Linked DNA regions of Mytilus edulis. The main gene of each other region encodes a partner of the protein of the gene in region 3 in a complex. Links are inferred from orthologs where the notes say so. Each region holds a gene or a part of one and is shown on either strand. Other genes may lie near its edges. The genes, in order: integrin alpha-8-like, LIM and senescent cell antigen-like-containing domain protein 1, basement membrane-specific heparan sulfate proteoglycan core protein-like and integrin beta-PS-like.

Evidence for each region.
Region 1: basement membrane-specific heparan sulfate proteoglycan core protein-like (region 3) and integrin alpha-8-like share a complex: the UniProt entries of both Caenorhabditis elegans proteins name them as parts of the integrin containing attachment complex. The link is inferred for Mytilus edulis from reciprocal best matches to the Caenorhabditis elegans genes unc-52 and pat-2.
Region 2: basement membrane-specific heparan sulfate proteoglycan core protein-like (region 3) and LIM and senescent cell antigen-like-containing domain protein 1 share a complex: the UniProt entries of both Caenorhabditis elegans proteins name them as parts of the integrin containing attachment complex. The link is inferred for Mytilus edulis from reciprocal best matches to the Caenorhabditis elegans genes unc-52 and unc-97.
Region 4: basement membrane-specific heparan sulfate proteoglycan core protein-like (region 3) and integrin beta-PS-like share a complex: the UniProt entries of both Caenorhabditis elegans proteins name them as parts of the integrin containing attachment complex. The link is inferred for Mytilus edulis from reciprocal best matches to the Caenorhabditis elegans genes unc-52 and pat-3.

The regions. Positions count from the first base shown.
Region 1 is NC_092345.1:85,189,349-85,197,107, reverse strand, and holds the start of integrin alpha-8-like, read left to right. Parts: upstream 1-4,367; 5' UTR 4,368-4,653; coding exon 4,654-4,898; intron 4,899-7,759. Other genes in the region: uncharacterized protein, read left to right, coding at 426-496, 1,096-1,222, 2,346-2,402. UniProt on the Caenorhabditis elegans protein: Required for muscle development probably through the regulation of the actin-myosin cytoskeleton. Component of an integrin containing attachment complex, which is required for muscle maintenance.
Region 2 is NC_092346.1:66,273,873-66,282,210, reverse strand, and holds the start of LIM and senescent cell antigen-like-containing domain protein 1, read right to left. Parts: upstream 3,064-8,338; 5' UTR 2,471-3,063; coding exon 2,343-2,470; intron 1-2,342. UniProt on the Caenorhabditis elegans protein: Component of an integrin containing attachment complex, which is required for muscle development and maintenance. Probably function in adherens junction.
Region 3 is NC_092356.1:15,117,774-15,125,748, forward strand, and holds the start of basement membrane-specific heparan sulfate proteoglycan core protein-like, read right to left. Parts: upstream 3,383-7,975; 5' UTR 3,114-3,382; coding exon 3,009-3,113; intron 1-3,008. UniProt on the Caenorhabditis elegans protein: Component of an integrin containing attachment complex, which is required for muscle development and maintenance. Probable structural role in myofilament assembly and/or attachment of the myofilament lattice to the cell membrane.
Region 4 is NC_092345.1:41,302,763-41,310,214, forward strand, and holds the start of integrin beta-PS-like, read right to left. Parts: upstream 3,430-7,452; 5' UTR 3,313-3,429; intron 1,271-3,312; 5' UTR 1,259-1,270; coding exon 1,195-1,258; intron 1-1,194. UniProt on the Caenorhabditis elegans protein: Integrin alpha ina-1/beta pat-3 is a receptor for laminin. Integrin alpha pat-2/beta pat-3 recognizes the sequence R-G-D in its ligands. Plays a role in cell migration, morphogenesis and probably in cell-cell interactions.

The DNA.
Region 1 (7,759 bases), on a different chromosome or scaffold from region 3:
CTGGAATTCGTTTCAACTCGGAAAATATGCTAGTATACTCCATATGAACGCGCTGCTTAATTGTTGCTACATATAAATGGAAAATTTACAATTGTAAAGATAAAATCCCCAATTTAGTCGTACAGTTTTGTTCTCTACCGACCCTAGTTGTTAATTTCCAAATGTAAGTCAAGTTATGAGGCATACTAAACTGTATCTTGTACCCTTTAATTCAAGTTCAATGGGTTTAAAGCATTATAAGCTTCACTATATATTATATTTACACTTATTTTCTGTTAGTGTTAGTATAAAGTTTGTCAGTGGAGGCTTAATATTTCTTTAGTATTGTATTTTCAGATGTTTTCGACAACCTCTGTAATTCTACAACCCTTACGGGACCATGATATAGAGTCTCTGGCAGAATAATGCAAACTTTCCCTTTTCAGTTGTTCCAGTTGAAGTCCAAATACGTCTGTGATTCATCTGGATTATCTGTAGGCTCTATACTATGTATAGGGTAAGTTATTAATAATTCTTCATTTCGGGGTACGGATAGATAACATGTGTTTTAGAATATATATATGTATACACTTCTACATTATTGTCAGGTTCAGAGGGTATTAATAAATGTTTTGAAACGCACCTTTTTATTGTGAATTTATCAAAGTCGTCTTCGGCCCAATGACTGGGATAATTGGAGGAAAAAAACGAATGTCTAGTTCTTATATTATGATACTTTGATGGTTGAGAGATGTTAAATCAAGTTAAGGCACGATTATATAAATTCTGATTTTGAAATGTCGTGTCACTTTACCCTCTGGTATCTTTCGCCCCTCTTTTACGGACATGCATGTCCAAAGTATAAATAGCACGAGAAAAGACATACCTGTATATTTATACTGAGTAACATAAAAAGTTATATTTGTTAAGTGCTGCATAAATACAGTACTGCTTATGTGCAATTTTCAAAACGTTAACGCTGTAAAACTCGTGTGCTCTATTTTTCAATCTAATTAAAATATAGATCTCCCAATATATAGTATAACGCGAGCAGCTATCTATATTTGAATTAGATTGATCTATTTTGTCCTATTTTTATGTGGTTTTTTTTTGTAGGTTTGTATCTTTATTGTTTCTGTACATACTTATCGGAATACTCGTTCAAATATTTATACGTAAAGAATCTGGTAAACGAGTTATACCAAATCATGACTTTTGGGTTGCTGTACCAGTATATATAAAGGTAAAAATAATATGTTGTGTATATTTTTGTGACTTTGTCAACATTGGATATTTTAATCATTCGAAAGAGCATTTTTGAGGGTTTTTTTTCAAATTAAAGCTACTAGTATAAGATAAGATAAGATAAGATAAGATAAGATAAGATAAGATAAGATAAGATAAGATAAGATAAGAATTTTATTAATCTAATCAAGAACCCATAAAGGGCATCATTTTACAACAATATTATGACAATATGATTGAAAAAAGCAAAACAGAAAACTAATGCCATACCATATTGGTGAAAATAACGTATGGGAATTATTTCATGTACGCCTAAATGACGGTTATTAACCAATTTAACTGTGTTTTGCAATTATCTTTGGAACTATTATTTTGAAAGAGAAAAGTAAAGTTCATTTGAAAGATAACTTGAGTATCTACAAGTTATGAAAGTAGTCAATATACTTTCCGTTGGATGTGCTGTCCTAAAAAGAGTTGACCATACAAAATAAAATCTTATTGATCTGGATCAAACTGGTTGCAATCCAATGTGGTATATGACATCGCCATTGCCCCTATACTACTGTTGCTATAAAAATTGATGTTATATAGGTACCCTTCTATGTGAAATTTCCAGGCTCATTGGGGCCCGTTATTGTTTTACGGAAATTAGGCTTCGAGACGGTTTACTTGCTGAATATATACAAAGCTTCTGTATATAAAAAAAGTCAATTCAAACTGTTTCGCTTTTTTAAACTTGACACACTCAGGGCAAAGTTTAAATATTTTCACTGTATGTTGGTAAGAGGGTCATTTTGACCAATAAAGAAATTCATACCAGTAAGAGTTCTGGTCACTTGATAACTCTTCATTTTGAGTTGTATATCCTGTATAACTCATTGATTGAAAACCTTGCGTAGGCTTAGACAATCGTTTTACTCCTGTCACTTACATACGACAGACATAATGTAGTAGCTAATTGCTTCAAACATGTAAGTAATTAAAAAGGTATGATAGGGAATATTTGACCTTATACAAAAGTATTGACCTTATACAAAAGTATAAGTATTTCATATATATAAAAATGTACACCCTATTGTAATTATAGTTCATGAATTTACTGAATTTATACTTTTTTGTAGGATGGTACTCGTTTTGTTATTGGGAGAGGAAAAGTACGAACATACGATGCAATTTAATTTTATCTCGCAGTTTAAATCTATACAGTCATTATAGAATACTCATTTTTATTTTTGTATAACAGTTGTTTGTTCGTATGATAATAATATACATTTGTGTAATTGGTGAAGATGTTCTGCTTTATTCGGAGTTGTCCTTCGTTGATCGAAAAAAAATTCAATGCATATATAAGAGCCACACATGGATAGTTTTATGTCCTCTTATAGTACGTTTGTATTATAGTTATTTGTTTATGGAGATAACTTTTAGGCGTTGTGGAAATAAAGGCGATATTTCTATTATGCATGTTATTTCCGTTATGACTAAAATGGAGAAAAGAAAGTAGACAAAAAGATGAATTTATGGAGAAATGATTCATGTTAAATGTACACCCGTATGGAATCATCAATTAAATGAATGTATACTTGTTGGTTTTAAAGACTTTGTGTTTAACTGAATTTATTCATTTTATTCACGGTAGATTAAGTTTGAGTATATACAATTGATAGAAAAATGAGCAACATGGGTCAATTAAAAAACATGTATCGCATTCAAACGAATGAAATAATATTAAGCTCATGTAATACTACCATGATCCTACCCAGTCTATAAATTAGTGTCGTTTCTAGATTAAAAGTAAATATGGTCAATCAGAACAGTACAAACTAATAACAAGCAGGCATCGAAATTGAAACTAGCTTGTATGTTTCACTGACTACTTTCTTTAAAGACGACTGTAAAAAGATTCTATAGGGGTGCTAAGTCTCTCATCAGTTTGTTCATTTCTGTTGTATAATCATAAAAACAAGGAGATGAGGGTGGGATTGCAAATGAGCCAACTATCAAAATTAATAGCGAACAAAGGACAAGCATGTAAATAATTATGGGTCGACCAACATACGAGCTTCAACAATGAGCAAAAACAAATGCTGTAAACTATGTTATAAATGTCCCCGACATGACAATATCGTGAAAAAAAACAACCAAAAGGCGAAAACCAACTGTCTGATCTTTGGTAACTGCAGCGCTATTTTAGTATAAAATATTTTTTTGAAGCCATCAAATTACATATTACATCAAACTTGACTGATTTAATTCCAGTTTACAAATTTCAAAACTCCGTAGATGGTAGAATTCCACAATTCACTATTCACTCATGATTATTTTTGCAATAACTTACGTAATATAATGTTCAAACTTCAATAATACATAAAATTTTGTTTTTTAATCCTCCGTGTTAAAAAAAAACCCAATAAAAATCTTATATATATAGATATTTATCTAGCTGACACTTGTTTATATTAATGTAAAGGTATTTGGTGTTCACATTTTTTTCAATCGACTGCATCTCCAAAGTGATTGATATTAGCAGATCTGTCAAAATAAAAATAGTTAATTGTTATAAAAATACGTAATCATCTTACGAAGTTTTCAACAATCCTTTAATATCTTCCCGACGGCGTTAAATTTACACGAATTACTATTTTACAAACTTCCTTTTAACTACATAAAACACTCTTTCTGTTTTAATCTCTGTTCAGTGTACTTTAAAGGAGAATCAAATAAAACATACAAATTTCAAAAGTATGTTTTTTTTTTTATTTTACACTGAGTTTAATATTGTTTAAGTAAATGTTTAAGAATCGTAATATAAATACTTTTCTTTGTCAAACAGTGACAAAAGAAAAATGATAGCTCTGTAAATTTGACCAGAGAAAAACAAAAGTGAACAAAAAAACATTAAATCAATCAGTTAAATGTGTTGTGTCAATCCTTGTTGTGCCTTTCCAAAATGTCCATAATATATGTCTTATGTCTGTTATTAGGTTGGGTAACATTCAATTAATTATATTGGTCAACCATCTTCATAAATCTTTTTAAATCTAGGTCAAACGTGCAATTTACTGCTGGTCATTTACAAGGAGACGGAATCTCACATCAAATATAAAACTTCCTCTCACAAACTAATTCAAACAACAGCGGGAGCTTTTTTTTTTAATGATTTTATGAATGAGTCAGGCCAATTTCTATATTAGGATCTTTACACACACGGGGCAATAAACTCGTCCGACGTGCATCACTTTAACCTGATCACCCCCTGAAGGCAGTAATGGATCACTCTTACAAATGCCAATATCTTACATACACATACGATACCGTAGGAAGTTGTTGTTTAGTGTGTAGAAAACGATGAAATTATTATATGTGTGAAATTAAATACTTCTTCTTACAAAACAACTTTGGATAAAGTGATCACTTGGTTTTATAAATATGAGATTAACTAGTTATTTATTTCGTTTTAAAATGGATAAGGTATTTTTCTCAAAGTGTAGTTGCGGAAAAAATAGTTTTTTCGATGTTTCTGTGATAGTTTTGTTTGTGTGTATTTTTGGATATGCAATTCCTATAACTAGTGCCTTTAATTTGGATATAAAGAACGCTATAATTCAAAGAGGTGAAACTGGGAGTATGTTCGGATTCTCAGTAGCTCAACATCTCGACCAAAACACAGGATGGTAAGTTTTCACAAATTCTTTAAAGTTCACAAAGAAAAGTGTTGCCACAGTTACGAGAATAATCAATTACTAACTGAAGAGATGATATTTGTAGATGGTATTTCTAATGAAATATACATTGAAAATATTGTAATTACAAATAAAACTTGCAAGGTAAACTAATATGGATCGTAAGAGGTTGCTGCAATCATGTTCTTATCTAGTTTTATGTACTATACATGTAGTATGAACATTTTTGTTCAATCAGTACATAACTATAATCTGACGGGAAGACGAGGTTAAACGCTACACATGTTTTGTGTTTATTATTTTACAATTATCTTTTATCTCATCAAACATGTGTTATCTATGTGATGTAAACTTGGCTTAAAAAATCCTATGGTGAATCCCTAAGCGATCAGCAGGTGATCGGATTAATAGATCATTAATTGACTCTGGATAATATATATTCACGGATGACATCTACATGCTTTTGGTGTACTTAGGACCCCATTCTTCAATTTCTTTCAACCATTTACTTAATTGAAAAATTCAACTTCAAATGACACAGCATCTCTATTCACTTCGTTGTCATGTATCGTCTAATCTTGTTTTATAAATCTTACATATACAAACAAATGTACACGATTTTATATCAATGAAAAATAATCGTCAAAAACGTGTTAGCTAGATATTTACATTAATTTAGCCACGCTTATTTAAACAAAATAAACATCAAACTCTTTATAAAGGTCGATATATGTCTGTTTTGATTTTGTTATGTTTAACAGTTTCTTTTCTACGACGTGATACACGATAGCCTCCAGATATTGTCCATGCATAGATAAGTAATGATTGTAACCTATCAGTTATTGATGGATGAATAATTAAAGTAATGCTTCAATCTAAACTTTTAACCGAATGACCGTCTGGATACATTTTTTGTACATACATCAACATGATGTAAAATATGGATCATAGGCTTTTGCATTCCCCAAAATACTCTTTATTGCGGTGATGTAGTTGAAAAATAAGATCAGTTGAGTTCTACACTACCATCGTTGACCATAAGGCATAAATGTCAGTGTTGTTATTTTATGACTCTCTTAAAAGAACACTTTTAGGTTAAAAATTAGTGTATTTTTTCTTTTTTTGCATGGTAGTGTGGTGGCTATGATTTTGCATTATAATTGTTTAAAACTATTAAGTAAAGTTGATCACGTTTGTGAAATGAACTTGACAGGCTCGAGGAAGTTAAGTGATTATGTGATCCCTCCCATGATTATTTATTATCTAATCCAAACTAATTTATGACGACGTTGACTGCAGGCGCTCGACAGGACATTTTGACCTCCATGGGATAATTTGTCCGGAAACAGAACTATATTAGTAAACGCCCAAGCGTTATCTTGGGGATTTGACAGTCACCTAGGGAATAAACATGCACTAAAATTATCATATTTTAAAAATTTCTTCCATTCTGACATCGCTTCAGATACACATTTACGCATAATCTTACACATGGTTACCACATTTAAAATGAAGTCAACATCAGAACGAAACTAAAAAAATCCTTTGAACCATTATTTCAAAAAAAGATCTGACAATTTTTTTCATATACATATATGTCGTGTTTAAAGTACACAAGGTTTAACACTCAAGTGCATTAAAGATGTTTCACATGGCTTGTACCGTCAGAAAGCAGGTAATTTGAAATGAGTTAAGATCTTTTCCTGGAAAAAGTTGAAATTTTAAATAAAGTTCAGTCTGAGAACACAGTAATAAGATAAACATTACGTGTATTGATGAACTGGTAAACGCAATTACGTCAAATTTGATGGATGGATCTCCGGGTCGTGTTTACATGTCATACTAGAATATGGTGGATGCCAATCTTAATTACCAGATATAATTCGATAATATAAGTAACCACAGTACAATACTTTAACAATCCTTGTTGTATGGTTGTGTGGTTTATGGTCACCAAAAGATGATATATGGTCAATAAGTAAGTTACCAATGATCAGGTCTCTGATGTTTTTGTATCTTGCCTAGACTTGCTACATGTCCCTTCCTAATTATTATTATTTTTTCAATTTTGCCCCTTTAATAATTTTACTGCTATAACTAGGAGATTACAATTATACTGACATCTGCAGGAGGAAGGGACTTGTAAAGTTTGTCTGAGGCTTGACCAAACTGTTAATCTTAGAGTAATTAAGATTGACATTTATTGATAAGAATTTCAGATAACAGTTGGGAAGTGAAACTTGATATTCCAGTGTTGTGCAAATACTGTTTATTTATTTTCATTTTATAACTTACTAGAAAGATAAGGTCACTGAACTTATACATATGATCAAACATCACATCATTGTCAGAGTTTCTGTTGTGTCTAATGGCCGAAAGTTCTACTCCAAAAAAGTTTTTTAGATTTATAAAATTTACTCCAACAACTAAAAAAACTCTTTGTGTAATTTGTGGAAACAGAATTGAAAAATGTGATTACAGGAGAAAATTATTTCATGGCAGCATCAAATCTGAATACTGTATTCTTATTGAAAAATATCTGGAAATAAATATTACAGAAGAGACACATGCAGATACTGCATGTAGAAAATGTGTTAGAGAATTGCAAAAAATTGACAGTCTTTTCACAACATTTAAATCGTCATATCAGAATACTTTGGCAAAACTACGTGAAACACATGGACATAACTCGGTTTCATTCAAAAGACAATTTTCCGAGGATGGTAGTGCAACTGTTAATAGTAGGAAATCGTTGTTTCCTAGAGATGAGGAAAAAGAAGAAGACTCTGAATTCAATATTGACACTGAAACTGATTCAGAACTGAAGGTATGTTTGTAAAGTACATTATTGT
Region 2 (8,338 bases), on a different chromosome or scaffold from region 3:
ATATACACGGGTCATAACCACAGGGTTGACACTACTAAATTGTACGAATTGTTACCTATTGTAGTATTTTTAAGTAAGACTTTCTAAGATAACAATACGAATACTAAAAATCTGGACTAAAAATAAGGCGTATAGGTACAGTTTTCAATTTGTTAGTGGGCATGACGTAAAACAGCGAAGCAAAGAATTCAACTTTATTTATAACTTATATAGGACAATGCTGTTGATTAAAAAATACTTCATTCCAGGACCTTTTGTTTTCCAAATAATTAATATTATTGTTTCAGTTCGACGGGTTCAAACAGAAAGACTTGAAAGCAGAGAAAAACTGTGTATCTTATAATCGGCATGACTTTATCAGATGACAATACCAATACTAAAATAAGGCTTGCGCATACCAATACTAAAATAAGGCTTGCGCATAGTTATATACTTTAATTCAGTCACGGACCCGTGATATCACGGGTGTGTTCTAGTGTATACTAAAGTTATTATCCGGAAACCATCCGTCTTCAGACGACGCTAACATACCAATATATATATGATTGCAAAATTTTTTGCGGTCGTAAAAAAAATGTGACTGGGTTATAATCGTAATAATAAATGCTACAGTAATTTCTGAATTTACAGTATTTTGCTCAAAAATTGTTAAATTTTACCTTTATTTTTCACAATAAACATTACTTTCAACTTAATTTAGCAATAAATTACCAATTGACGACTGAGGGAAAAGGACATTCCTACCCTCTTGGGATAATGAATCCCTCTTCAAAAATAAAAGTGGACACATTTCAATTTGGGCATTTTTTGAAATTTGTAAGAGATGATTAAAAGTAATGAAAAGGACATGTTTCTGTCCAATGCAATTTGGGATGAATGGAAATGAACATATTTGAGGGGAAGGAAATTGAGTTTTACAAATGTACCTATATTCAAAATATCATGTTCTGAAACAGACTAAAAGTAAAACTTTTTCATTGAATTTATTTTAACAATTCTTCCAGAATACAAATATCTATAATACTAAAATTACAAGGTCCAATTTGTCAGCCGTCATCACGTAAAAACGACGAATCACAGAATTCAACTTTATATATAACTAATATAGTACAAAGGTGTAGATTAAAAATTACACCACTCCAGGCCCTTTTGTTTTCCACGTAATTAATATTGCCAATAATTAAGAAGTTCCGGGTCGAGTCCGCTACCAATACCAATAGTATATTCACCTGTTACCTATTACCTTATCTGTACGTTCCGCATCTGACAGGCTCACCACCATTCAGGATTAATATGCTATATACACGGGTCATAACCACAGGGTTGACACAACTAAATTGTCAAATTGTTACCTATTGTAGTATTTGAATCAGTAAGACTTTCTAAGATAACAATACGAATACTAAAAATCTGGACTAAAAATAAGGCGTATAGGTACAGTTTTCAATTTGTAAGTGGGCATGACGTAAAACAGCGAAGCAAAGAATTCAACTTTATTTATAACTTATATAGGACAATGCTGTTGATTAAAAAATACTCCATTCCAGGACATTTTGTTTTCCAGTTAATTAATATTATTGTTTCAGTTCGAGGGTTCAAACAGAAAGACTTGAAAGCAGAGAAAAACTGTGTATCTTATAATCAGCATGACTTTTTCAGATGACAATACTAATACTAAAATAAGGCTTGCGCATAGTTATATACTTTAATTCAGTCACGGACCCGTGATATCACGGGTGTGTTCTAGTATTATATATATGTATCCATCATCAAACTGAAGTAAACCTAGCAGTTTGTGACTTTCTGATGTGTTCACTGAATTATCAAATCTAAATAAAATTGCAATACTGCTGGATTTTTTAAAAATATGCACAATTACATATAGTTTTTGGTCCTGTCATCCAGACACCATACTTCATAGTCTGAAAATTTCATACAATCAGGGGTCACAACTCTGGAAGTTACTGTTAATATGCACATGTCAAAATTAAACGATCAATGATAATAAATGAACATGAAAGTAGGAAAACAAGTTAGCAAGTTGTATGTCCATATCAATGTTTCTTTTTTCTGTTGATATTTTATAAATTAATAATAATACAGTAGGAGACTCGGACCTTGTTGCATAAAAAAAACAACATATTTTCCATCTCTAAAATTATTCTAAATTTTCATGAAAATGGGAAATACACATTAACATAAAATTCTAAGTGTTTAATGCATTTCCTTCTCTGATTCAAGCCCTTATCAATTGCTATAAATTCCTGGAATAAAAAAAAAGTTGAATCCATTTTGATAACAGTATATAGTTTTGTATAGGCTACATAAAAAAAGCTACCTACATGAATTTTTCTTCATTGTTTAGTAGGTCCTCATCAGATAGAGTCCCACAAGAATCCATATCACTCTCAACTTTAAAACCAGCACTACTAGTGTCATTGTCATTAATGATATCATCATCAGAATCCATATTTCAAAAGGTCAACAAGGAAATGAGCAATTTTTATAATTTTCCAATTACTTCATTATTTCCCTTTAATTTGTAACAAATATATTTTAGTGTACAGCCGACTGCACTGTAACAGAAAGTGAAAGCGGTGATAAATGATGTCACTTCATCAGCTTTTTCTCAACAAGTATAGTGTATAAACATATACACAAAGTACATTTGGTTGTTATAGTCCACCCTCTCAACCTCAAGTGAGCTCCAGTATAAGTATAACCAATTATAAGTGTCTTCCGTTCATGTCAGCACTAAACAATGCAGAAGGTGATTTTTTTAAGTACATTAATGTACATGTATTTGTTGATCATGTTAACATGAACAGCATAAGAGATATAACAGTTAAGAAATTAACATATTTTACAAATGTATTTGGTCCCTTAATTTGTCATTGTTTTTATGTTTATTTTGATGGAATCTGGCAGAATACATTTGTTGTATAACTCAAATGTTTTTCTCGGATGTCATTAAGAGTCAGGGTCAAACTTAATAATGAGTGTTTAAAATGTTATCATGTTACAACATATAAGTGTTCATTTCCTGAAATAAAAATACTTACTAGTCAAAGGGGACATAATTCTTTCCAGATAAAATACATGTAATTATTATTCATACAAATTTACATCAAACAAAATGTACATTCATCTGCATTTGTAGTACATGTATCTACATTATCAAATAATGATGGCTTCAACATGTTCAATCAACATATATTAGAGGTAAGAATTCACAGTTTTGATTTTTAAATTTTTATACAAGTAGTTCTCTTTTGTAAAAAATCCAAAATATCGTTGAATGTATTTATTAACAAATGTACAGCCTAGTAGTGACTTCAAATTTCAGCCTTAAGATGAGGAAATGAATCAAATCACTGTCAGTCTATTTTTCTTTCCAAACAAAAGTAAGCAGGGTATATGCATGTATATGATCAACAAGCATTGTGTGTGTATTGCATGGCAATATATAGATAGCCCCCTACAGCTGGCAAAAAAAGTATTGAAAACTGATTACAGGGACGTAACTAGTGCAGTCTGCACGGTTAGCCACTAGTCCGATGCCCCAGACTAGTAAAATTTCAATCAGACTAGTAAGTTTTGGCAAAACTTTGTTTGGATTAATAAGAAAAATGTCAGAATATTGGTCTTCGGACTAGGAGTTGAAAAAGTTTTTGGTGCAGACTGCTAGTGTTCTAATTCATGGGAGGCAGGAGTTTGGGGCCGCCGCCGATTTTTCACCCTCACTTAATGGCTAAAAATAACCCGTTTTCTTTTGATTTCCTTACTTTAAGACTCGTCAGTATTGCTTGAACCTGGAAGCAGTTTTTATGCAAAAACAAACTGAGTTTGCTGTTCGGCGTGAGCCAAGGCTCCATCTTGAAGGCCTTACTTTGAACTATAATTATTAACATTAAATATATTGTGACCACTGATTTTTTTCTCTCAAAATAATAAAATGCCTAACAAAAATCAACCGTTTTCCTTTGATTTCCTTACTTTAACTCATCAGTAATGCTTGAACCTGGAAGCAATTGGTTTTACAAACAATTATTATCTGTATTTAAAGATATTTTTGTTAGAAATCAAACCGGTAAGTAAAAAAAAATCATATAAAGCAAGCTAATATAGATCGCAAGAATTTTTTTTATCGAGGACCTTGAATTTCAATATTGTTGAAAGCTGAACAGACATGAATAGAACTACATGAATGGGAGTGTTTAACGACTAAGGCATTGACCATTATGTTCTTGTGCAATGTACGATTGACAGATGTACTGACTGACTAGACACGTTAAAAAAAATATCCAGCAGCTGCTTCAGCCGATAACGTAGTTCTGATATCATAAACGATTCATAATACAAAGGGAACTTCCTCTGCTTGAGCCCCTAAATAAATGTGATTATTTAAGTTTTATTTAAAATTGTCGAAAGCAAAGTTTCATATGCGTTCTCGTACGACATAGGAAAAACTAGTGAATAACAGATGGATGGCCACTCGAAAAAAAAAACTAAAACAAATACCGAAATGGTTCACTTCCAATCAAAAATCCGGGGAATGACAGATATATCACGTATCATGATACCACTGTTGAAACTGTAAATGTGTGTTGTTTAAAATACAAATTTAAGTTTTTCGTGTACACATTGTCAATATTTTATTTTATTACTTCAAAAACAAAAATTTGGTGTAGAAAATTTAGGGGAGGCACATTTTAGTTACGGCCCTGGTACTTTTATTAGTCCAAGGACCATAACTCTGAACAAAATTAGAAATTGATCTGTAACTTGTCATGATATAACTACATGTACATGTACACACAATTTTCAAATCAATACTTTTAAGCACGAATTTCATTTTTGATTTTTTGTGTTTGAACGTCAATTTTCAGCATTGCTTTTGGCCTACTTGGTGGTGGCCATGGACAGTTTTTATTGGGGGAGGAAAACGGAGTGCCCAGAGAAAACCACTGACTTTCGGTAGGAAAACTGACAATCCTAGTCAAATACATTACAATGTATGTAAAATTTGAGTCAAGTGCCTCCACAAGAGTGGGTTCGAAACTCACAACCTCAGTGTTGACTGGCTAGTGATTACATGTACATGTAACTACTTAGACCACTCAGCCACCGCAGCCGACTCAAGCATGATGGAAAAAAATGTGGAAAACTGATTATTTCAGTGAATTTTCAAAGTCAAAAGTCCATATACCTCTGCACAAAATCATTAGACAGGGACAAAATAATAACTACATTTGTACATGTACATCTGTAACTTGTCATGAAAACTATACATCAATTTTGAGATCAATATCTTCAAGCATGAAGAAAAATAATCTGATTTTCTGGAATGACAGATGGACAGACAAAAGGAATGAAAACCTTAGGTCGCATTCAACTTTGTCAGTAGGGGACTAATAACCTACAATGTACATAAAGTAAACAGTATTACACTAAGAATGGAAATGGGGAATATGTTAGAGACAACAACCCGACCAAAGAGCAGATAACAGCTAAAAGTCATCATAGGTCTTCAATGCAGTGAGGAAATCTCACACCACATATAAAACTGTAGTCAGAAAATGGTCGATTGTTTTTGACAACTGCATATGCTGTATTAAAGAGTTTTTCCTACCTATCAACCTAAGACTGATTGACCTTAGCCGCAGCTTTGTCCATTTCCCCAGAAACCTGTTTTATTTTATTTGTTTCTTTAAACTGACAAGCTTGGTGTTTTTCTGAAAGTTGATTGGCAGTTAATGTGTCCCATCTACATTGTATTTTCTACTTTTCCAACAAATAGAGTTGACTTTTGATCGGCAAGTGTTGGATGTTTTATACATATTATACAAAAATTCCAGGGGAACTCTGCTAACCAAGATGGTTGAAATTTTTGCTTTCGTTTTTTTTCTCACTCTTAGTCCGTCTCCGCCTGCGTTTTACATTTTTTAATGACCTGTCGATTTTGTCTGGATTGCCCAGTAGTTTTATTAAATATTTATCTTTCTTATTAAAAAAAGGTAAATGACACTTCTGTTTAATGATGGATAAAACCTAGAAGACGATACCCCGGGTCAATGGACAAGGACAAAGCCATATTTACAAGACCCGGGTTTGCATACTTATTTTATTTTAATTGGGTAATCAATCTTTTTCCAGTGTTATTTAATTTTTTTGTTGTGAACATTGATGTTTTGACTTAAATATACAAAAAAATGTATATGTTTTATTTGTTTATCACTGGTTTCTTTTACATAAAATTAAACTTCTTTATAAGTTTTGAAAATAATTATATTTTTTTGTATGAATTTAACTTGTCCATGGGCAACCCAGACAAAAAAGTCACTTGACCAGGTGATCAAACGAGTCGGGCGAGTCATGCATTCCATTTCCACACCCTTGCAACAGGGTTAAAATGTTTTGTGAGAACTCAACCCTACCCTAATAGGCTATACCTCTAGCCAATGTAGAAACACAAACACACAGCAATAGGTGAGACGCCACAACAAGATTCAATATGGCTGAACAAAATAGGTGGAGAATGCATACAAATAATAGTGTTAAGGAAATAAATATTCAAACATAAATTTGTAGGTACTTCTTATCCTAAAAAAAATATCTAATGAAACAAACTATATATATTGACTAGCTTTTAAAAAAAAGAAGATGTGGTATGATTGCCAATGAGACAACCGTCCACAAGAAACCAAAATGACACAGAAATTCATGTAGCATGGATTGTTAACAATCTTTTTTAGGAAATATGTGTGACCTGAACTTGGGTCGCAATTCTGAACGTTTTGAAATAGGAAAAATCTGTAGTTTTATGGTCCGCTCAAAGTTAACAAATAACATAAGGACCTATGAGCTATGCTTCTGCAGCTAGTGTATTAACTCCAAGGCATTGAAACAAATATTCAGCCATGATATTATGACAGGTGCATTGTGAGAATAATTGGCTGTCGGAATATTGGGATGTCAGAGTAATGGGCTGTCTGAATAATGGTATGTTGAAATATTGGGATGTCCGAGTAATGGGCTGTTGGAAAAATTTGAATATATTGCAGAGTAATGGGCGGACGGAATAATGGTAACGGTACCAACAAGATGTCACCTTTTATTTTTTCTTAGAAAAACAAAACTGTAATAGGATTATTATAACAACTGTACAGTTTTATGAGAACATGTACGAATATGGGCTAATAGTTACTATATTACATCAGACAAAAATCAAAATCTTCATGGATTTTCACTCAAATCTTTTACAATATTTCGTAAAAATTCTGTTATTTTGATAAAAATGGTCCAACAAAGCACCATTATTGACCATTATTGGCATTGAATAGAAAGTTCTGTAATCTCAATATCAGGGATTAAGTTATTTAAGAATTTAAATTGTTAAACTAATATGAGTTATGCCGACCTTCCAGTCATACAGGCCGATTATCGCTGTTTTTGTCTTAAATGTCTCACTTCTGTAACTTTCTTGGGACGTTCAGTTCAACATGGCGGGACAATTACGTCACATCCGGGGCCATATAAGGTCATGTTGAAACAAGATAATACACAATACAGGGGCGCCAACGGGGTATTCTTTACTCAACCAACGAAAACTCTGATTGAATGTATAAATGTTTTATTTGAACAGAAGAAAAAAAACGTTCACTACAGATTTATAAATTCTACTAAAACATATCTTCTTCCGAATGAATCTTTGGTTTTGCATGCAAAAGTGACAGTCTAAAATATGCAACATTTGTATACATATAATCATTTTATGATAAATAATAACCAGTTGAAAAAAAGGAGAACAACATGATGCACATTTTGAGTTCAGATTCTGTCAAGACGCAAGAGACATCACAGGGAGACAAATCTAAATTTCAGCTAAATTAAGTGTTAGAGTTATCTCGCATTATATATCCAAATTTTGGGGACCATTTTTATAGATAAAAAAGTTCTTGATATTTTTAAGAGCTTTCTATACAAATTCTTGATATTTTGGCTACTAAGTGTTTAATTGTAAAAAAAAACCTGTGTGATGCGCATTTTATTATCTATTAAAGGACTTTCCGTTTTGAATTCCCCCGAATGCAGCCGTCATTCGGTATTTTCAATTTATAACCGCAAGTTTTGCTCCAAGTCAGGAGCCTCTGGCCTTTGTTAGTCTTGTATGATTTTAAATTTTAGTTTCTTGTGTATAATTCGGAGTTTAGTATGACGTCCATTATCACTGTACTATTATGCATATTTTAGGGGCCAGCTGAAGGACACCTACGGGTGCGGGAATTCTCGCTACATTGAAGACCCATTGGTTGCCTTCGTCTGTTGTTTGCTCTAT
Region 3 (7,975 bases):
TATATATTCAGATACCTACATGTACATGTACAAATGTATACACACAATGTACATCAAATATATTTTGCAATGCTTTCTGCTTTTTTTGTATATAAATGTACAGAAAATTCACTTTTATGAAATAATTATGAACAATAACTTGTACACAAATATACATTGACATTCATGTAAAAGCAAAGAAAATGACATGGTCATAACTACATGTACAGTGGTATCTGGTCGTTTTCCAACCTCTGACTTTCTTTTACTATATATAGACATGTACATGTACATGTACATGTATATATTTACTATAGTCGCATATATTGTTTGACTTATAACCACAATTAGACATGTTAGAGGCAAATTCAGAGGTCATGGAGTGTATAGGAACTAGACAGCCATATTTTTTTGCTTAAAATAATCCAAATAAAAATGTTTCCTTTAGCTAATATCATCAGCCCGAAAATTCAAAAATTAGAAGTGAAACTTAACTTAATCTGTCTTATATTCTCAGATGAAAAGTATACTTCTTCAAATTTTTGGTCTTTTGGAAAATGTTGTTTGTGCTGTATTTAGACCCTTCTACAACGAAATTTGTTTTACATGCACACATATAAAAATTGCGGTTTTTATCCAACGCAATCATAGGTTTAAACGTAGTTTTCAATTTGGACTCGTATATATATTTAAGAATTTAATGCTTCTTTTTGTAACTTTATAGGGTTGTAAAAGAATATTGACCGAAGTACATTTTGTATGAAGCGCGGAATCGCTTCATTCTATAAATGTGTGCACGGTCAACGCTTTTACAACCCTATAAAGTTACAAAAAGAAGCATTCAATACTTATTACATTTTTTAGCTAGGATCATGAAAACACGATTTTTATCAAGTTTTTATTTAATTCACCTGTGAACTTTATTGTTGGACCTCGTGTCATCATGAATGATACATTTTATTGAGTAATGCAATTGCTTAAGGAATAGCACGTGCTGTGCAGTTAGCCAATCAGAATAACGAAATAATGAAACATACATCAAATGTAATTATATATATATATATGTAACATCTTACAAAGTGTTATATATATGTACATCTAAAATTGTTATACAGTCATGACAGTGTACAAAAATGGTTGTACAATGTGAACATGCATACAGACATGTACACTATACAGGTCAGTTGATAGCCTGTATACATGAAGACAAATCTGTTACACCATTAGTAGCCTGTAGGAATGTCCTGTTTGTCACTCTCATTGTAAAATCATTTCATATTCATAGTTATTGGTTTAATCCAGATGAATAGATTAACTCTTGCATAAAGATTTGTAAAATGTGACCTCTTATTTTTCATCTGATTATATTTAGCTTTTGACTGAAATAAATTTGTATCAGTAAATCTGTGAATAATTTTCTACTTTAATATTTTTGTTATTAAATGCTAAGGTAGAATTTGTCTTACATAACATTCAAGTTTGACTTTCTATTAATGTTTGATTTTCATTTTAAAAATTATTTTTTGGGAGAAAATATTTTTTGCTTTTAAATTGTCTTTTTAGTTAAACCATGGAAGCATTATAATTCATTTTACTTCCATGGATTAACCAATATGTACATAACCATGATAACATTGCACTTTTCTGTATTTTAATACATTTACATTGTGCAATTGCAATTTGCCAAAAAAATATTAAAGAAATCCATTTTTGAAGATTATTTTATACATGTACATATGTATATGTAAGAATACAAAATACATGAAATACATCTCCTTTGAACTGAAGTGAAAATTAGGTCCTAGAACAGTTCTTGATCATTTTAAGAACAGTGTGTTCTTGAATTATTCCCAGGGGAGGTCCCCATAATTCAATGTACTTATATGACTGAAATATTTTTATTTCAGACAAGTATTGGCAATAGACTGAATAGTCAAAGCTAGTCAGACAATGATGAATTTTATTTAAATTTTGGGTGTGATTTCATATCTGCCAGGCAAATTTTATTTTGGTTAGGCAAGATTTAATATTTGATTTTCCAGAAGTCAGTCACAAATTGAAATGATAACATGTAGGTCAAATTTTCTACTGAAATTGTTTGAAAAAGTTGCCTTGGCATTGGAAAAAGAAAGAAAAGGAAAAAGTAAATAACATCACAATTTGTTTGGCAAGATCTCAAGACATATCTTTTTTATGTCCTAACTCTAATTTGAATACTATTTAACATGCAAAGAAAAACAGCTTTGCTGCTGCTTTAACAACATATCCATGCATAAAAGAAAACTAATTCATCACAGGTGGTTTGTGAAACGATTTTCATCAATAAAAATATTTGTTCTGAAAAGCATATAACCTCCTTGATAAGACTGATAAATCACCTCAGCAGGAAACCAGTCTTTCACATAACAGAGCTAAAGACAGTTATCATTTATAAACATCTGGGAGGCACCAGATCAACAGTTGCATAACTAAATAATTTATTATAAAAATCTTAAGATCTAGAACTCATCAAAGAATTTTTAGAAATATTCACCAAACAAAATTTTGCATTTATATACATGTAAGTATACATATTTCTTAGCAACAGGAATATTAAATTAGTTAGTATGCAACTTTTTCATCTTTTTTTCCGTTTTGAACGATAAATGCACACATGTACATACATACAGATATACTGTCAAATTAGCTATAAACACATAAGTTGCATATTTTTTTTTTATGTCAATTGTTCTATAATATGTAGATACGAGTATACACCTATGTGTGTTTTCAAATATTTCAATAAATAGCATCGCTAAATTGACGTTTTCACTTTATACACATGCATGTCTTTTCCTAAATGGAAACAGACTATAATCAATTCAAACACATGCATCATGTACCAGTACTTATGTAAACGTGTTGTATATATTGCGTTCTCTTTTCAAACATGCACCGATTATATAATATTCTGATAAGATAATTAAAATAATTAACTACTGACTACATGCAGACAAGAATACTCCTTTATCAGCACTTTTTAAACTTACCGATTCTGAAGTTGATAATAAAATTCCATTTAATAAAATTAAACTTATTAATAAAGTTCTGCAGTTCCTTAGGAATAATATTTTACTAGACGAATACATGGTCATATTTTCACTTTCCTTTGGGGCAACAGACAGTAAGTACCCCCTTTTCTTTTCTCTTTAACCGGTACTAATCCAGATGTAAAAAGACAAAAGCCGTGACACACTATTAAAAATGCCTATTCAAATGCATTATCTAATATCCAAGGCCAGAGTTTTTTCCCAGCCGTCTAACAACAAAATGAAAAACAGCTGAAACTGTAAAACAAACTCCTCCAAAAAGCCTCCAGCACTTTCTTTTCTATATTCACTGGTTGAATGAACTGAAGAAAGGCGATGTTATTCGGCTGTTACTTAACTCCCACGTATTAGTCACGCACTAACATCACAATTATTACAAAAAGACTTTGATTAGCTACTTAAACGTGTGCAATACTGTAACAATTATTTTCCTTCAACTTAACCCTCAAATATGTATGATCGTGATACCACCGGACATTTGAAGTACACTTTCTTACAACCAAGTATAATTGATAGAACAGCCCGGGATTCCCCCCTCATCTGCTAAATTGAAACATGTCAATGAGACTTTTGAGATAACCGTTATCTTTAAAATCTGGTATTAATTATACAGTATAATACTTCAACCAGATTAATTATATAATCGGTCTGATAAGGATATTTGCTCTCAAGATCTTCTTTATTTGGATAATTATCTTCGCGACCCTAGGTACTTCATATCACAGGTGCGAAAAAGGAAAAATGTGAACTTTAAATTTGTGTGTATGATATTTTTATCGGCGTTATCAAGTGTGTTTGCGGTTGCCCTGTTGATCAAAAATTTTGGCATGTTAACTATTATGATGATGTAACTGCTTATTAATTGTGTCGTAAAGTAAAAAAAAAATATAAAACTACATTTCATAATATTAAAAAAACTCGGTTTATACATCATCAGTTACAATCCCATTCAATATGAGACAACATTTATAAAATTATAAAATAGCCTTTCTAAGAATAATTCTATAAGAACAATAAATGTTAATTTAAAATATCGCACCCTCGGCATTGCTTTCTTTACTAGCATTTTTTTTTAGACTAGTTTACTTTTTCTGTGGAAAGTTCCATCAAAATTATACGGGACATTTTCTACTGGGCAGGATCTGCATGTTTACTTATTTCGAAGCATCTGAGACAACCCCCGGTTTTCATGTTTACTTATTTCGAAGCATCTGAGACAAATTAACCCCCGGTTTTTCATGTTTACTTATTTCGAAGCATCTGAGACAACCCCCGGTTTTTCATGTTTGGGCGTTTTTCAATAAAAACGTATTTTCTTGTCCTAGCCACTTTAAAAATAATGTGTTTGGTCTTTGCAAGTAATTTTTTGTGCAGTCAGTACATTGAATTAGATTTAACATTTTAAAGCAAAGAAACAGTTAATTTTTTAAAGGGATTGCTAATTTCGTAAAAAAATGTAGAAATAAATGTTATTTTTACTAATATAAGTTCTTTAATAATTCAAAAGTATGTTTAGAGCCAACATATTATAATAAACAGCTTTTAACATAGGATTTTTGATAGGCACTGGCTACGGTTACATGGAAATGTAACAATAATAAAAATATTATTGTTACATTGGAGACTAAATGCCGGAATGTATGGTTGGTTAGAGACGAATGTAACAATAATTATTGAGGCTACGGTTACAGTGCGTTATTGTTACATGAAAAACAGCAATGTACGATGGGACTAGTAATTATTACTAAATGATAAAAGTTGAGGACATTTATTTTATATTTACAATACATACAATAATTACATACAATTTCTTTATTTTTTTATTTACAATGACAGTTTCTACATATCCAGTAAGTGGTTGTTAAAGCATGTTTAAGTCCGACACATTTTTGATGAACGAAATAACGTCCTCCATGGATACATGTATACAGAAGTTCCCAGTATTTTAGTTCACAGTTTGCTTTTGATGTATCAAATTATTTAGAACTGCGTTTGTATAGTTGAATGAAATTTGTGTCTTGATATTGTTTCAGTTTCGTTTCAAACGCATCCCAAATTTCAAATTTTCCACCCTAAACAAAACTGATAATAGGAATCTCTTCATCCGTTGTTCAAAGTATAATCGAACAGTAAATTAAGAGTAGGTGTGTAGTTAAATACTTAAAAGTGAAACGATTGAACTACTAGTATATTTTTCGCCTTTGGCACTCCTAATCTGGTGTAGTATCTTTAAGAACATCAAAACCAAATTTAATATGTAAAACTATGTAAACACCATTTGTTAAATAATAATGTTTATCATTTATCATTATTACAAGTATTATCAAGTACATATAAAAGAATTAAGCAATAAAACTATAGAAGATTTTTAAGTTTAAAAAATCTAGCGTATATTGCTGTTTTTTATGTAACAATAACGCAATGTAACCGTAGCCTCAATAATTATTGTTACATTCGTAATTAATCGGTTCCTTACCCAACTTTGCATTCCGGCAATTAGTCTCCAATGTAACAATAATATTTTTATTATTGTTACATTTCCATGTAACCGTAGCCAGTGCCTTTTTAATTTCAGAAGAAGTGTCCCTAACAAAATGTCCACTACGAAACGAAGTCATTAAATTTGCTAATAAACCGTTTTATAAAATCAATGTAATTTTTGTTTGCAAGAGATATAAACATTAGGGTCTTACAAAAGAAGTGATGCTTTTATAACGGCAATTAAATTGTTGGTAAAAAAAATTGAGCACATCAAATGGACCAGAGTGATACCGTATTTTTGTAAATGTCCACTACGAAACGGGTCAAATCTCCATCAGTATCTGGTTTTAAAATTATGAAAAAAATATCAGTGTACAGCTTAATACATGCTTTGATGAATACAATCAGTCTTGTTACTTTTGCAATAAAGGGATTGTGGTAAAAAAATAAAACATGTGAATACGAAACAAGTATGGGAGAAAAACGTTTCGTAGGGGACACTACCACTACCATGCAGTCTTTTTTTACTCTTTTTTCAATTATATTCGTGCAAAGCAAATACCAAGGGTTAGTTTCATGTAATTTTTATTATGTTTTTATTAACATAGAATAGGGTTGATGTCAACTACGAAACTTTTTGTCCACTACGAAACGGATTTGTCACCTACGAAACGCATCAAAATGTCCACTACGTAACACGAATTGTACCTTCATATGTGAAGTACTGTCTAATCTTCATCGATAAAAAATGGTTCTCCAATTCAGAAAAAAATTAGATTTTCCTAGTATATAAAGTAAACAAACTTGAATGTCTATAGGAAACATTTAAAATTGCAAACATATGTGTGTTTAGAAGCAGTTTCGTAGGGGACTTTTGAACAGTACTCAAATTATGAAAAAAAATATCATTTTAAGGAGTATTTAAGATTGGACCTTTTGTTTACAAACAGGTCTATAATAGAGGTATTCAAAATAACTCTTGAAATTAAATTTTAGACAAGTTGATTCCATTTTTTTAGGTCTGAAATATACGCTTTTATTGAAAAACGCCCGTTTACTTATTTCGAAGCATCTGAGACAACCCCCGGTTTTTCATGTTTACTTTTTTTTTTTTTGTTCTTGTAATGGATTTCTTTTGATAAATAATAAAATAGTGCACAGATGACTAAGTTTATGATATATATGTCGTGTACAAGTTGCGATTTTGTACAGGTTATAACATGTACAAAAATATTGTACATGTTATAATTTGTATAATGCAAAAATACAAGTTATAACATGTACAAAATTACCTCATACATGTTAAAACCTGTACAAAATATTGCTTAAAAATGGTTTTAACTTGTACAAAATTTAAAATAAATTTTAATGAAGTAAAATATATGTCGTGTACAAGTTGCGATTTTGTACAGGTTATAACATGTACAAAAATATTGTACATGTTATAACTTGTATAATGCAAAAATACAAGTTATAACATGTACAAAAGTACCTCATACATGTTATAACGGTGACATCCCATTAGTCCGACAACCATTATTCCGACAGCCCATTACTCCGACAGCCCATTATTCCGACAGCCCATTACTTCGACAGCCCATTATTCCGACAATGCATCTATCTTAAGTTTATAGGTACATTTTCTATTAAAAAGACCAACTCCGTTCTCTATAATATTTGTGGTTGTACGTTTTGATTCCGATTCTTCTTCTCATGCGGGATATTTGTCTCAGTATATTGGAGTTGGTACACATGCGTTTTGCAACTGCTCAGTCCTGACCCTCGTCCCTCTTTCGTTTAAGTTTTTTTTTGGCTTTATCTATCTTCATTTCACTAGATCTTCGGATTCCCCCTTTCGCGCATCAGGGGAGTGAGGTTTAACCACTATTAACTACATAAATAAATATATCAGAGTTGGACAACACTACCCGCCCTCTTTGGTCGCAACACATTCTTCTCCTTGTATGACACTCATCTGAGTTTTATTAAAATTGATTTTGTCGTGACAGTCAAAATGAGGTAAAAAAAGAGACAAATACAAACCAGGTCCTAAAAAAGATGACAAATAGGACGAAATATGTTTTCCGAAAAGATGAGTAATTCCAGCTTCTACCAAGACACCATACCGTGCGATTTTATGAATATCATTTTCGGGAATGTGAGTCCACGAAATACGGAGACATTCAGCACTTCCAATAACAATCGATCAGACATAGTCTAAGAGATAACACTCAATATATTTGCAGGGATACCGATTTTATATCCCGAGCTTATTTTAAAATCTAGAAAAAAAACCTTTTAAAATGGTTGGAGAGGTGCAGGACTGATGAATTACAAAATAACTATTTACGAAAAACAAAAATGTCAGACATGAACTAACGAAAACCACTAGACTACCAGCTACTGACTTGGGACAGGCACATTAC
Region 4 (7,452 bases), on a different chromosome or scaffold from region 3:
TATTGAAGAAATTACATAGACATAAGTTGCCATGGACAAAATATACATCGTCTTAACCTTTGAAAGTAATGAATGACCTAACGAATAGTCAAAGGAAATGCCATAAGGCCAGGGTTTTTTAATTTGTTGGTTTACGGATCACCGACCCGATTTTGCCAATTTGAGGAAAACAATTATAAAAAAAAAATTTTTCCCCGTCCGACCCTAACAAATACATTGACCCAGAAAAATAAATAAGATAATCTTTTTATGAAATAAAATGCATTAAACACTAATAGAATTGAAAACACTTTCTGTTGTGAAAAAAAAAAACCCTCAAATTTACGTATCTAAAAATAGACAAATCAATCATAACTGACCTTGAAATAATTTTGCGGAACGAAATATGTGTTTAAAACCCGTTACACAGTAAGTTCATTTCCCGTTTTTGTCATCATTCCGTAAGATGCATAATCTCATAGAAAAATGAAAAAACGTGGAGACGTCAAGTTAAAGTACTAAACATAAACAACTCATTTGGAATTTTCTTATGTCATTGATAATAAAAACAATTTGTCTAATTGGATATAAAAAACGTGAATGCTTGACAACTGATGAACCCGATATCCACGTTTTTCCAGCGGACGAGTCTATTACGTTTTTGACATGTGTGTGGAAACTTATTTTCGTACGTTTTGGCATTTTTTTCTTTATCAGTTTTCGTGCTTGAGGTTCAATATTCACAAAATTTCCAGAAATTGATTAGGCTACACAGATCTGGTTTTTTTTCTTGTTTGAGAAATGACAATTTAATTTTGTATTTTTCCGTGGACACACCCCTTTTTTCACGGAACTCAAATTATTAGACAATGTCATGCGATGATTATGACAGCTGACCAAGAATATTTGATCAAACTGAAATTTAAGAAATGATGACAAACATATTTTTAGAAAGGTGTATTTTTCTGTCTTGAAAGATATTTTTTTTCTTTCCGACCGACCGACCCGACTTTTTCATGGGGAAAATCTGTAAACTAACAAATTAAAAATTCATGGCCTAATATTGTCTTGTGATACTTGATAAGCCAAATAAATCAAAGCAGATTTTCATATCTCTGATAAGAGAAAATATATATATATTCATGCAAGAAATAGAAAACAGGCCACAACCATAAGATAAATGTATATATGAAGTATATATATGTTATAACTTACTTTGTGACAAACCAACACTTAAACAGGATAGCAGTAACACAACTGGTCTCCAGTCTATCTTCATTGCAGAATATTGCTACAAAATAATATAAATAACATAAAAATAAGGAGATTTGATAATGATTGTCAATGAGACAACAACAAAAATACATGTATGTATCCATTAAACAATAAGTCCTTCAACAATGAGGCAACACCAAAACAGTATAGTTAAGATAGCTCAACAGGCCCCAGGATTATAAAACCAACAACTGGTTAAACTACAAAAGAAAAGTTATGTTGGAGTTTATGTACGTACATTTTGTAGCAGTCATGTGAGATAAAGCATGCACTTAGGGTTTCTGTTGATTTTTTATTAGGCCTATACAAGTTGAATGAGTCTTTCATTTTGTTGTTGAAGTTTGCTTGGAAACATCTTGAGCTACATGTACATGTAGTAACCTCTCATTATTAACTTAAACATTAGATACCGGTATGTTACATATTATGGCTGCAAGTACATGTAGGCTGTTTTTAATCAGCTACTTTTAAGCGGCTTGTCATTTTGAAAAGGAACATGTTGTCAGAATGGGTGACTGAGGAGTTTGTGGTGTTGCCAGTGATGAAGGTGTACATGCAGGTGTTTGAAATTCAATAGACAGAATTGGTGATGGTGATTTAGATTCCCGCACACAAACCTATTACTCCAATGCACATGGCTTTTACTTTGGCTCTGTTGGAGGGGGTGGTACATCTGATGATTAGTTTTCACTCTTTTTGGCTGGTGGAGAGGAATCTGGGTTCTATCGCCCTAGTGCCTGTTCGCTCAGATTTCATTTTTTTCTTATTGTTGTCTAGTTGCATATGTTTATTATTTGAGCAGAATATGTTAAAGTTTGATGAAATATCACAAAATATTTGTATTGCTGCAACCAAATTATTATTTTCCCTTTGAAATACGATTGTTATTGCTAGCTATGATTTAAATTATTCTATCATGTTATAAATTTACCTGTATGACATTTTTTTCTTATTTGTCTATACAGTTACTTATGATAAGGAGTTGGAGACATGAATACGAATCTATACACAAAGATCATGATTTATTTGCACCCAGTGAACAATCAGTTATCAAAACAAAACAAGAAACAGATTCTTCTCAATATTTTTTTTTAATTATGTAATATCATTCAAAAAGAAAGGTAATAAAGGTACTATAAACATATAACATTCTGTTGGAAATTTGAAGAAAAAAAAACATTTTAAAAGACAACTTCTACATCATACAGTTACATTTACGACTAAATTTATGTCGATAAAAAACATCCTGATCAGAGTTCTAATCTCCTGACCAAAATTCCCAAATTTCCTGATCTGAGTTTCACAGTCCATCACATGTATGCTAATTAGTGAGACAGATGGAATCTAGTGATACACTGAAAAGGAGGGTCCATTCCCCAAACACCTGTATAAATTACAAATGTACTTTAAATTTGGGCAACTGAAAACACTACTTGATTTAACAAGAGAGACTTATAACTTGTATGTTTTAACCCCCAAAAAATCATTCAAAAGAGAAAAAAACCTTTATCCATGCATGTGCTGTACATTTAAGGAAAATGTACACTCCTTACAATCAATGAATCATAATTTACACCTTATAGCTATTTGTTCGCCATTCCTGGATATCAAACATGTCAAACAGGTTCCCGTAAAAATTTTCATAAAACTACAAAAGTAATTGTTGTATGCATTAAAAGTTCAAGCGGCCCGGTCAGCCAGGATTAGCGATAAGGTGTATTATTTAAATAATATTCATTTATTAAAATAATATTAATGAGTGAAGTTTTGTGATGTGATCTTTTACTAGGATCAATCCTGTTGAATATATCATGCATGTATTACACTGAAAGTTTGAAAAGATAATTTGCATTGATTCTGAGACCATGTTCAACGAAAATATTGTTCCCTTGGAAAAATAAAAGCGAAACTGTTTTTATGTTGTGCGAGTCTCTGAGTCCGATCCAAATTTAGGTAAATTATGCCACAAATCGCACACTTTAACTCAAGAATGAGGTTATCCATGCATAAATTCTTCATTCAACGTTCTTTCAGACGTATTTGAATTAACATATATACCTGTTCTTGTTCAAAATCGAATGCTTTTAGTCAATGTTTATCAAAATTAGTCACTGCAGTCTAAATATGGCGATTCCGGTTTTGTGACGTAAGAGGAAGTGCTACTCCGACAGAAATGCCTATAAACCGTCCTGATAGAAAATCAGCCGGGATCAGTAAAAAAGGAAATTGAGGAAAAGTAAATAATGTAAGTAAAATCTCACATTGATACAGAACTCCGATGAAAATTCAAAACAGAAAGTCCCTAATCAAAAGGCAAAATCAAAAACCCAAACACATCAAACGAATTGATATACATTTTGTAAACTGGCATATTCCTGACTTGGTACATGCATTTTTCTTATGTACAAAATGGTGCATTAAACCTGGGATTACAGCTAGCTAAACTGCCCTCTCGCTTGTATGATAGTCACATCAAATTCCATCATATTGACAACGATGTGTGAAGAAAAGACAGACATAATAGGTAAAAATTACAGGCTATTGGTACTTTACGGAACGGAACGGAACGGAACGGAACGGAATTTCATTTAAGGTATCCAAAGGGGGCATTTATCAAAATTTCGAAAAATCTTTAAAACAAAACAAACTTTGGAATTTCTGTGTTTTACGGTTTTCCATATACAAATAACACAAATGTATACTTAATCTCATCTTCACAGGTGAAATGTGTAATAATGTATAACATCGGGAAATATTCTGTAGATGAATATGTCGGATTGTCCTGATAAATTATCATGAAATTAACGCATTTGCAAGTCATGCATTATGATATCTAGACTGACCTCACGTCGTCCTTGATTAGAGACAGTGATCAAAATGAATCTGATTTAAACTTTTTAATTTATTTTTCCGTTCCGTTCCGTTCCTCAAAGTACCAATTGCTCTGAGGAATTGGTATTTAACGGAAAAAACGGAAACAGACATCTTAAATGTAATTAAAGCAGTGTGATAAAAAAAATTGTCTGACACCTCTTTTTGCATGAGTGGTATGTGTTTTAGATAGCATTTTCGACTTGATCAATAATAAAAAATTTAACACAAAGGCAGGTTACACAAAAAGTCTTTCTCCTTCCATCGGTAATTATATCTTAAAAAAGGGGCCTTCAACAGCCCGTTCCGACGATGATTAGAGACAGTGATCCAGTTGAATCTGATGTAAACTTTTTAATTTATTTTTCCGTTCCGTTCCGTTCCGCAAAGTACCAATTGCTCTGAGGAATTGGTATTTAACGGAAAAAACGGAAACAGACATCTTTAATGTAATTAAAGCAGTATCATAAAAAAAATTGTCTGACACCTCTTTTTGCATGAGTGGTATGTGTTTTAGATAGCATGTTCGACTTGATCAATAATAAAAAATTTAACACAAAGGCAGGTTACACAAAAAGTCTTTCTCCTTCCATCGGTAATTATATCTTAAAAAAGGGGCCTTCAACAGCCCGTTCCGACGATGATTAGAGACAGTGATCCAGTTGAATCTGATGTAAACTTTTTAATTTATTTTTCCGTTCCGTTCCGTTCCGCAAAGTACCAATTGCTCTGAGGAATTGGTATTTAACGGAAAAAACGGAAACAGACATCTTTAATGTAATTAAAGCAGTATCATAAAAAAAATTGTCTGACACCTCTTTTTGCATGAGTGGTATGTGTTTTAGATAGCATTTTCGACTTGATCAATAATAAAAAATTTAACACAAAGGCAGGATACACAAAAAGTATTTCTCCTTCCATCGGTAATTATATCTTTAAAAAGGGGCCTTCAACAGCCCGTTCCGACGATGATTAGAGACAGTGATCCAGTTGAATCTGATGTAAACTTTTGAATTTATTTTTCCGTTCCGCAAAGTACCAATTGCTCTGAGGAATTGGTATGTAACGGAAAAAACGGAAACAGACATCTTTAATGTTATTAAAGCAGTATGATAAAAAAAAAATTGTCTGACACCTCTTTTTGCATGAGTGGTATGTGTTTTAGATAGCATTTTCGACTTGATCAATAATAAAAAATTTAACACAAATGCAGGTTACACAAAAAGTCTTTCTCCTTCCATCGGTAATTATATTTTAAAAAAGGGGCCTTCAACAGCCCTTTCCGACGATGATTAGAGACAGTGATCCAGTTGAATCTGATGTAAACTTTTTAATTTATTTTTCCGTTCCGTTCCGTTCCGCAAAGTACCAATTGCTCTGAGGAATTGGTATTTAACGGAAAAAACGGAAACAGACATCTTTAATGTAATTAAAGCAGTATGATAAAAACAAGGCAGACCCTTCTTTTTTGAATGAGTGGTAAGTGTTTTAGATAGCATTTCGACTTGATCAATATTTAAATAAACAGCTGCGCCATGAGCGCATGATACGCCCGTCGTCTTGTGAAAAAAACATAAATCTTTTTTGAATAACACAGGGTTGTACAGGATGTCATGCTTAGTATATCCTGACTCATTCCTTATTCCCGCTCAATAGGAAGATTGTACAAGATGTATTTGGAAACCCGACGCAACATTAGCCTGTTAAGTTTTAAGCAATAGAGATACAGCGCAACATGTGAAAAAAACCTCTTTTTTTTTACAAAAAACTCAATAACTCGAAAATATAGAAATGAATCATCACCAAAAAGTATACAGATCTTCAGATTAATATAACAAAGAAGTGTGTAAAGTTTTAAGCAATAATCATAAATCGTTTTTGAGATATGGTGCGACATGTAACCCCCCCCCCTTTTTTTTTTTTACAAAATACTCAATAACTCAAAAATGAAATTTTGAATCATCACCAAAAAGTATACAGATATTAAGATTAATATAACTAAGAAGTATTTAAAGTTTAAAGCTATAATCAAGAATCGTTTTTGAGATACGGTGCGACATGTGAAAAAAACACACCCCTGTTTTAGTTACAAAGTGACGTAACTCAAAAAGTTGTAATCTTATTTTCACAAAAAAGTATACAGATCATTTTACCATCATAAGAAACAACTATGTTAAGTTTCATGAAATTTGGATAAGTCGTTCTCAAGTTACGGTGCGACATGTTTACACCGGACAGACGGACAGACGGACGGACGGACGGACACTGGACATTTGTATACCATAATACGTCCCGTCAAAATTGACGGACGTATAAAAAATAACACAATGACAGGTTAGACAAAAGGTCTTTCTACTTCCATTGGTAATTATAAATTAAAAAGGGGGCCTTCCGAAGATGATTAGAAACAGTGATCAAGTTGAATCTGATTTCCGTTCCGTTCCGCAAAATACCAATTGCTCTGAGGAATTGGTATTTAACGGAATCGAACGGAAACAGGCATCTGTAATGTAATAAAAGCAGTCTTGATAATATCAGTGCAAAGTTTTTAAAAATTAATTTTCATCTTATTTCAGTTCCCTTATGTCAAATTTTTAATTCAGGCATTAAAAAATCAGTTTATCCATCATTATTCAAACTAGCTAAAGTCATACCAGTTTTTGAAAATAAATGTTAAAAAATGATGTATTTAATTACAGACTAATTGCATTTTTACAATTAGTATCTAAAATACTTGAGAGACACGTAAAAACTTATTTAATGAACTATACGGACACATATAATCTGTTGTATGTCCTGCAATCAGGTTTTCGTTCGAACCATACCTGTCAAACTGCCATGACAACTTTGTTAGATAAATGGTTAAAAGCAATTGATGAAGGCGAATTAGTAGGAGCAGTATTTCTGGATCTTTGTAAAGCTTCTGATGTTCTTCATCATAAACTGCTCCTCCAGAAATTACAAAAATACAGATTTTCTTATTCTTCACTGCACTGGCTTACTTCATATCTAACTGATAGACAGCAGGTTGTATACATTTCAAATACCTTTTCAGGTGTATTAAAAGTAAAAACAGGTGTACCTCAAGGGTTCGTTTAAGGTCCCATATTATTCTTATTATTCATTAATTTTTTGCCTTTGTGTAATCCAAATCATAACAGTGATCTTTTGGCTGATGATAGTACTATTTCTGTTACTGGTAAAAACAAAAGTTGTATAGCCAGACACTAAATACTGTGTTAGAAAATATTTCTCATTGGTGTGATGAAAACAAAATGTTAATCAATGTATCCAAAACAAAGAAAATGTGTTTATGTTCAAAACACA